2 linked regions of the Ovis aries genome follow. Each later gene encodes a partner of the first gene's protein in a complex. Links are inferred from orthologs where the notes say so. Each region holds a gene or a part of one and is shown on either strand. Other genes may lie near its edges.

Region 1 (3,814 bases):
TCAATTCTGAGACACTTTCAATTGAATCTTAAGACAAGCAGTTTTAGAAAACTTAAAATACTTTGACTGTAAATGGCACTGTACGTAGAAATGGCACCAAATTAACCAAATGCAATTAGCTGAAATGAAGGCAGTAATGGTGGAAAAATTGATGCAAAGTGAAGCAAAAAGGCTCAGTAGGATCTGACATTCAAAGGAGGTTAAAAGCTACGTTAGCCAGAGACAAAAGCTAAAAGGCTTACAGAAGTACAGTGCTAATTGAGAAAACGGAGAGAGAGTTCCTGACCTAGAATTGCGATAAAACCCCGAAAGGAAAAATATCAGCGCTTTCTGTGTTGGAGTGTCAGAAAAGGCAGGCGTGTCTTAGATGAACGGCTGAGAAGTGCGATTCCTTCAGAAGCATTTTCCTCTTTTGTCCTCCCGGGAGCCCTCCAGATCCACCCAGACCAGAAAGAGCCCCCGCAGCACTAAACTTGCAATCATTTGCTGAGCGAGCTGGGTGAGCCCGGCATCTGAAAGGCAGGGACTTGTTAACATGAAAGTCTGGATGAAAAGAGCCCCACACACAAGACACACGCACACAGCCTGCCACAGCTCATGTGCGGTGCTTTGCAAATCAGACGTGGAGGCTTCTGAAAATGAACAGTATCTAGGTACAATAGTCTGTGGCCCGATTTTGAATTTATCAAAGGGATCCCGATTGGTTTTCCGCATTGGACCTCTAACAATGGAGCTGTGTCATTTCTCATAGAGGATTCCCCAAACCCGTGGCAGATGCTGGGAGGGGCACGGGAGATGTAGGTATAAAGGAGGGAGTCCGAGCCTGGGGGCATTCACAGTCTGGTTCCAGGTGAGGAACAACTCACCCGTGCCATGGGATGAGGGTGTCCAATAGCAGGGGGAGCAGGGGTGGCAGAAGACAGCACAGGAGGGAGCAAAGATGCAGGCCTGGCTCAGGGACCAGCTCTGCTAAGCATCCTCAACCTCATTCTTCTCCACACAATGGGGGCAAGGCGGCAGAGGCAAGGTGGGGGAAGGTCTTACCTGCCTGTCTAGGTGGGCTGAGAGAGGTGGCACCATCACACAGACAGGTGACCATCATTAGGTAAATCAGTGGGAGAAAACAGACCCCAGGAGTGACCGAGTCTACACGGTCCAGGAGAGATCGAGATCGCACACATTCTGCTGGGGCTTCGGCTTCTATTTCCCACCTTCCTTTCTTTATCCCACCCACCGGTTTTATTAAGAGTGCTGAGGAGCCTCTCATACAAGCACCCTGGTGAGGGAGGAAGATGGTGGGCGAGGACACACCCACTCCACCTGCACGCTGCTGACACAGGGCGCGCCCACATACACGCAGTGCAAGAGCATCTCCCAAAGGTGCCAGCCCCTCGGGTGGCACACACAACACCCCATTGCCCACTGAAGCTCGCCATCAGATCCGCGCTTTCATCAGGTGCGGCGTTCAAGTAGCATTTCTATTTGCAGAGCAAACAGTGAAACATGAGTTGTGTGTTTAGACCAGGTGGCAGCAGGAGGCAGTGCTCCCACCGGGGGTCATTAACAGGAAAGCCGGGAGTTAGTCCTCCAAGCTCAGCAAGCATCTCCGTTGCTGAAATGGCACATTCTAATAAGCCTCAGAAAAAGCGGCCTCTCCTCTCCTGGAACCAGAAGCCTACATCAAACAAGAGCGGGACTCACAGTTGAATTTCAAGCTCTCAGGTGTATTTAAGGAACTTATTAATATAAGCCATTAAAATAAACTAGGGGGAAAGAATTGGAATTTGAAGTTGGGGGGGGGGGGAAACTGCCAGATTATGTGGACAGACAGCAGCTTCATTGTTATCAGGCAGTTATAGTAACCAAAGCATCATCCACCAGAAGTCTTCCTGCTCCAATGGTAAATAAATAAGAATATATCTAAATATTTACATTTACTCTCTGTGTTCACACACATGTGGCTCAAGTCTTAAAATTGCATGGAAATAGGTCTTCCAGTACATCTGATCTGCTTGCAATGGTGTAGAGACCAATGCAGGTCATAGCCCGTGTCCATGTGACCATGCATTCTAGATAAGTGGTATCCGACTATTGAGGTTTCCAGTTTCCAGCACAAACGTCCTTTCACGGATGCCAAGAGCAGAGCCTTTCAACACCACTGAGGTTACCTACCATTACCCACTTCACCACCACCACCGCTGCACAATTGGGTTCTGGTGCTCTGGCCAGGAGAGGTTTGAGAGCAGAACTTGATGGAAAAGAGACAGAGGTTCATCCATCTGGCCATTCCCCAACACAGCTTTTTGTCACAGCAGGAGATGGCAACTTCATCTACTCCCAAGCTGATGAAAACCAAAAGGGCAAAGTGGCTCGCCTGGTGAGCCCCGTGGTTTATTCCCAGAACTCTGCCCACTGCATGACCTTCTGGTATCACATGTCTGGTTCGCACGTGGGCACGCTGAGGGTCAAGCTGCGCTACCAGAAGCCGGAGGAGTATGACCAGCTGGTCTGGATGGCCATCGGACACCAAGGGGACCACTGGAAAGAAGGGCGTGTCCTGCTCCACAAATCTTTGAAGCTTTACCAGGTGAGCCCCCTTTCCTTGGTCGGGGCAGGCAGCTGCTTCGGGGGCACTGGGATGCTGTTTGAAAGCTATGCAAATGAGATGCAGGAATCATTCCAAAAATTATTTCAGGTGTGTCCTCAACCTGAGATACCGATGCACCAATGATCATCTAGGTAGCATTATTTCTTAGTCTCCTAGTTGACAGCCAGGGGACTGATTGCTGAGAAAGAAGGGAAATGCTACCCTATAATTATTTAGGGCTGTCACAATCAACATTCCTTTTATTTGCTGCTCTTCCTAGTTTTAGATTCTGTGTCACACAAAGAGAATGTGAGGAGAAGTTTTATACCATCCTCAAGCAGTTAATATGGATTGAAGAGCAAATCGCGTGCTCGTTCGAAATCTCATGAATTTCATTTACGTGCTGTGACTTGAGCTGCACAAACATATGTAAACACTGTTATTTGGGACCAAACATTTAAATACTGTGGAAATGATCTCATTTTGTTAGGTGATTTTTGAGGGTGAAATCGGAAAAGGCAACCTTGGCGGGATTGCGGTGGATGATATTAGCATCAATAACCACATCCCTCAAGAGGACTGCGCAAGTAAGTATGGGTTGCTGTAGAAACCAATGCGGTGCTTGCTCAGGGCATGAGTCTTTCCACTTTATGGTCTTTGTCATGCTCACTTAGACCTAGAATTTTAATGTGGGCTATAAGCACGTCCTATAGATGTGCTTGCTTTGATACAACAAGGCATAAAGCCAGGTCAGTCTACCTTCAGCTACCGCATCATCTAACCTGGTTCACTTAGAATGTTTGGTTAGTATTCACGGAAGTACACCAATAATGTGCAACCAAAAATCATAGCAAAGAAGAAACTCACAATTTCCAGGCCATGCCTAAACATTGTGATGAAAAGTGGAAAACTCAGATATCTGGGTAATTCCAGATATCTCAATGTATAAACAAAATAGGAAGCCTTTCAAATTTTTCATCACAGTGGATTTAATGAAGATTATATTGTGAATGGATCATAGACAACATCATTCTTTGATTTATTATAAAAATAAGTAGAGGTTTCTGACTCTCCGAACAGTTGAAATGCCTCAAAAGAATAAATGAAATTTAGAGATTTTGCCTAGCATTTCAGAGTTTATGGATTTTTCTTGGCCTGGTGTATATGAATAAAAGTCTTGACATAGAAAACCAATTCATACTCCCAGTTCTTGATATATAATTATAA
Region 2 (3,814 bases), on another chromosome or scaffold:
GGGCCCTGTTAACCCCACACAGAAATGCCACTGCAAAGCCAGGATTACTCACCTCTACCCCTTCTACCCATCAGGCTGTCAGAAAATCTGTTTTCTGTTTCACTTGGCCCCTACCCCTAAGTCACTCACTCACACCCCCTTTCCTCTCTGGGGAGGTCAGCAGGAGCCACCTTTGAAAGCTCTCCCGTTACAGACTGCAGGACAAAGGCACCATCGGTGAGAGGTTAGAGCCAGAAAATTGTCAGGCGCTTCTTTTTTTTTCATTCTTTGTAATCAGAGAGGTTGAGTGATTTGCGCCAGGTCACACAGCGCGATCTAGGCAAAGCTGAAAAAGGAAGGCTCTTTCCTAAGCTTCTTCCCATCTTTGCGCGGATCTCAGGGTGAGCCAGCATCAGAGCCAGGATAAGCCTTTCCTGGGCTTGGTGGGTGCCACGGGGCTGCCAGGTTCGAGATCAGCAGGGACCGGGTGAGCGGGCCCGCGAACGCGCCCGCGCAATGGTACTCGTGTGTCCCGGCGCTTCCCCGCCCGTGTGCCCAGAGACAGCCGAGGCCGCCCCTGTCAGGCCGCCGGGCTGCGGGCTTCGCTTGACACTTCTCCTCCCCTTGTGTTATTGATCGAGGCCTCTCCGAGCGGAGGTGGCCTGCCCGCTTCGAGGAGCTGAGTGGGTTCAACTTTTGGTGCTGAATTCTTTATGGGAGTAGAGTAGGGAGAAATCTTCATTTAAATGCAGATACAGGCTTCTCACCTGGGACTAAGGAAAGTTTTTTCCATTAAAATGCTAATGAAAGAACAAACTGAAACTCCAAATCCTCAGCTCACAGAGCCGTCCCCCGCCCCCCCCCCACCCCACCCCCAGTCCGACTCTTCACTCCATCCCTTGACCTTTCTTTGCTTCTTCTGCTGGGTTTCTGTGGAACTCACACATCCTGTGGCCCTGGCTTCTGGGAGCTTTCAGCAGCTCTCTGTGAGAGGCCTGTGGACGGGGCGACTCATCTTCTTGAAAGGAACCCATGCTGTAGACTGGTGAGGGGGTGAACTCCAGCCCCGGAGTTGTGTCTCAGGCCACTGCTTCACTCCGCTGCTGCCGAGTCGCTTCAGTCGTGTCCGACTCTGCGACCCCATAGCCGGCAGCCCGCCAGGCTCCCCTGTCCCTGGGATTCTCCAGGCAAGAACACTGGAGTGGGTTGCCATTTCCTTCTCCAGTGCGTGAAAGTGAAGTCGCTCAGTGGAGTCCGACTCTTAGCGACCCCATGGACTGCAGCTCACCAGGCTCCTCCATCCATGGGATTTTCCAGGCAAGAATACTATGACCTTGGAAATTTAACATCTCTGACTCTTGTCTTTAAGATGGGCAATGATGCCTACCTTGTAGAATTGATAGAGCGATTAAGTGTATATATATGTGTATATATATATATATGAAGGGCATATGTACCTGCTTGCTGGGAGGCTTCCATGACTAAGGATTCTGGAAGGCGGCTCCAGGATGGGGCGCTGCCTTGGGCCTGCCCAGAAGCATCCTCAGGCCAGATCCTTTCCTGCACAGACGCTGACTCTCTCAGACCTGAAGCCTAGCCGGGGGCCCAGGTCCGGAGGCACACAGGTGACCATCACGGGCACCAACCTGAACGCAGGCAGCAACGTGGTGGTGATGTTCGGCAAGCAGCCCTGCCTCTTCCACAGGTAACTCACCTCAGGGCCAGCTCCAGGGATCCTGGCGCAGAGGGTGGGCGGGGCTGACTCCAGCTGGCCTTTTGGAGGTGCTTCTTCCTTCCTGAGAAAGTGACCATTCTCTCTGAGAGGAGACTTTATGGGCATGCTTGGCTGTGGCTCATTCCGGGGACCTGCCAGGGATCCCTACCCTGGATGGACCTGTCATGCTGTCTCCTACCATTTAGCCTGGGTGCCCCCATACCACCCGCTGTGCAGGACCCTAGGGTTCCATAGGACAGGGTTTGGAATCTAGGGTTATCTGCCCCCTGGGTTAGCTCTGGGCAGCTACTGCAGTGCCAGCCAGGACTGCTAAAACCTGGCCGAGTGTCACAGAACCTCCAAAGGCAACCGACTTTCTTTTCCTTCCTCTAGTTCCAGTGTCCAGTCCCAGGAGGACACACCTTCCAGGAACCAGGAGCCAGGAACCTGGGGTGGGGTGAGGGTTGGGAAGGAGGCGGGAGGTGAGAGGTACATCTAATCCATAGCTAGAAGAGATGTGGTTGGCAGGAAGCTCTGCAGAGAGATTGTCCTCTGCAGAGAGAGATCATCCTGGGAGAGCGCTATACTGAGGGCCTGATCTAAATCAGGCCAGGCCAGACCTTGCCTGAGTGTTCCAGAAAACATGGCTCTGACACTTGTTAAAATGGTAAGAAAGAGCTTGTTCAGGACTGCTGCAATAGGTGTCAGGACTATCGCAATGGGGCTAGAGATCAGACTTCAAATACAGCAGATAGCTGGGGATTTATAGCCAAGGAGCAGTGAGGGAGGCTGAGGATGGAAAATTACTAAGAGGAAACAAGGTTAAGAGGATTCTTGCTAAACCGACTTAACAAGACTCTTGCTGAAGGCAGTCAAGGTGATCAGGTATCAAGAGTGAGGGAGACAGAAGCTGCCCAGATATCAGGGGTACTTAGATATCAGGGTGGGGTGGGGGATTCTTACTAAATTGAGTTAGCAGGATTCTTGCTAAAAATGGGAGTAGGCTAGTGGAAGGCAGGACCCCAGAAAGAAGCCTAGTCAAAAAAGCAGGCTCCGAGGAACCTGTCTATAGTTGGGTCAAGGACAGAGTCTTGATCAGTAGATCTCAGATTAGTAGTGTCCAGGGCAGCGCTCACCCACTGCCCCCAAGGAGTCTGATGAACAGGGAGGGGTGCAGGAGGGCCCTGACCCCAGACCACGGTCCTGCCCGACACCCAGGATCCCAGCTCTCTGTCTCCCCTCCTCCCTCCAGGCGCTCTCCATCCTACATCGTCTGCAACACAACGTCCTCAGATGAGGTGCTGGAAATGAAGGTGACGGTGCAGGTGGACAGGGCCAAGATCCACCAGGACCTGTTCTTCCAGTACGTGGAGGATCCCACCATCGTGCGGATCGAGCCCGAGTGGAGCATTGTCAGGTAGGGGCTGCCCCGACCTTGGGTTTCCCTCCTTGAGTCTCAGAAACCTAGGAGATGGACTGGGCTTGGTGTGGGTCAGATGTTCCGGCAGGGGTTCCCTCTTTCTACTGAGAACGCCTCTGAGCGGGACCCGGCCCTGGAGGCCAAACTCTGGCCAGCAGGAGCTTACAGTCCCCGATTTGAGGATTGGTGGGCAACTAGGAAAATGGTGAGCGCTCTGGATTCTGAACCCAGCTATCCGAGTTCAAATCTTGGTGGGAATTTTGGGCTTCCCAGGTGGCGCTAGTGCTAAAGAACCTGCTTGCTGATGCAAAAAACATAAGGGATGCAAGTTCGATCCCTGGGTAGGGAAGATCCCCTGGAGAAGGGAATGGCAACCCACTCCAGTATTCTTGGCTGGAGAATCCCATGGACAGAGAAGCCTGGAAGACTACAGTCCAAAGGGTTGCACAGAATCAGACATGACTGAAGCGACCTAGCACACACGTATGCACGGGTAACTAGGAGGCTGGACGGGGCTGCTGAGGGCATCCTGACGGCATGGATGCTCCCTGGTGATCATTGGGAAACCTTTGTATCAATGCCTGGGTAGGGGGGCAGGGTGGGAAGTAGACTTAGGGTTAGAAGGACTGAGTGTAACTCAGCTCCACTGCTTAGCAGCCAAGGGACCTTAAAGATTAGCTAGCTTCCCTGGACCCAAGGTT

What was found.
Region 2: the proteins of NRP1 (region 1) and PLXNA4 are in contact, whole or in part, in a cryo-EM structure (PDB 7M0R), measured with the Mus musculus proteins. The link is inferred for Ovis aries from reciprocal best matches to the Homo sapiens genes NRP1 and PLXNA4. Residues at the interface, in NP_032763.2 of Mus musculus: Arg80, Tyr84, Asp126, Tyr127, Glu128; in NP_786926.2 of Mus musculus: Glu272, Lys340, Lys343, Lys345, Leu349.

What each region holds. Positions count from the first base shown.
Region 1 is NC_056066.1:19,103,239-19,107,052, forward strand, and holds part of NRP1 (neuropilin-1), read left to right. Parts: intron 1-2,312; coding exon 2,313-2,587; intron 2,588-3,077; coding exon 3,078-3,174; intron 3,175-3,814. UniProt on the Homo sapiens protein: Cell-surface receptor involved in the development of the cardiovascular system, in angiogenesis, in the formation of certain neuronal circuits and in organogenesis outside the nervous system. Mediates the chemorepulsant activity of semaphorins.
Region 2 is NC_056057.1:97,513,223-97,517,036, reverse strand, and holds part of PLXNA4 (plexin-A4), read left to right. Parts: intron 1-1,547; coding exon 1,548-1,684; intron 1,685-2,945; coding exon 2,946-3,110; intron 3,111-3,814. UniProt on the Homo sapiens protein: Coreceptor for SEMA3A. Necessary for signaling by class 3 semaphorins and subsequent remodeling of the cytoskeleton. Plays a role in axon guidance in the developing nervous system. Class 3 semaphorins bind to a complex composed of a neuropilin and a plexin.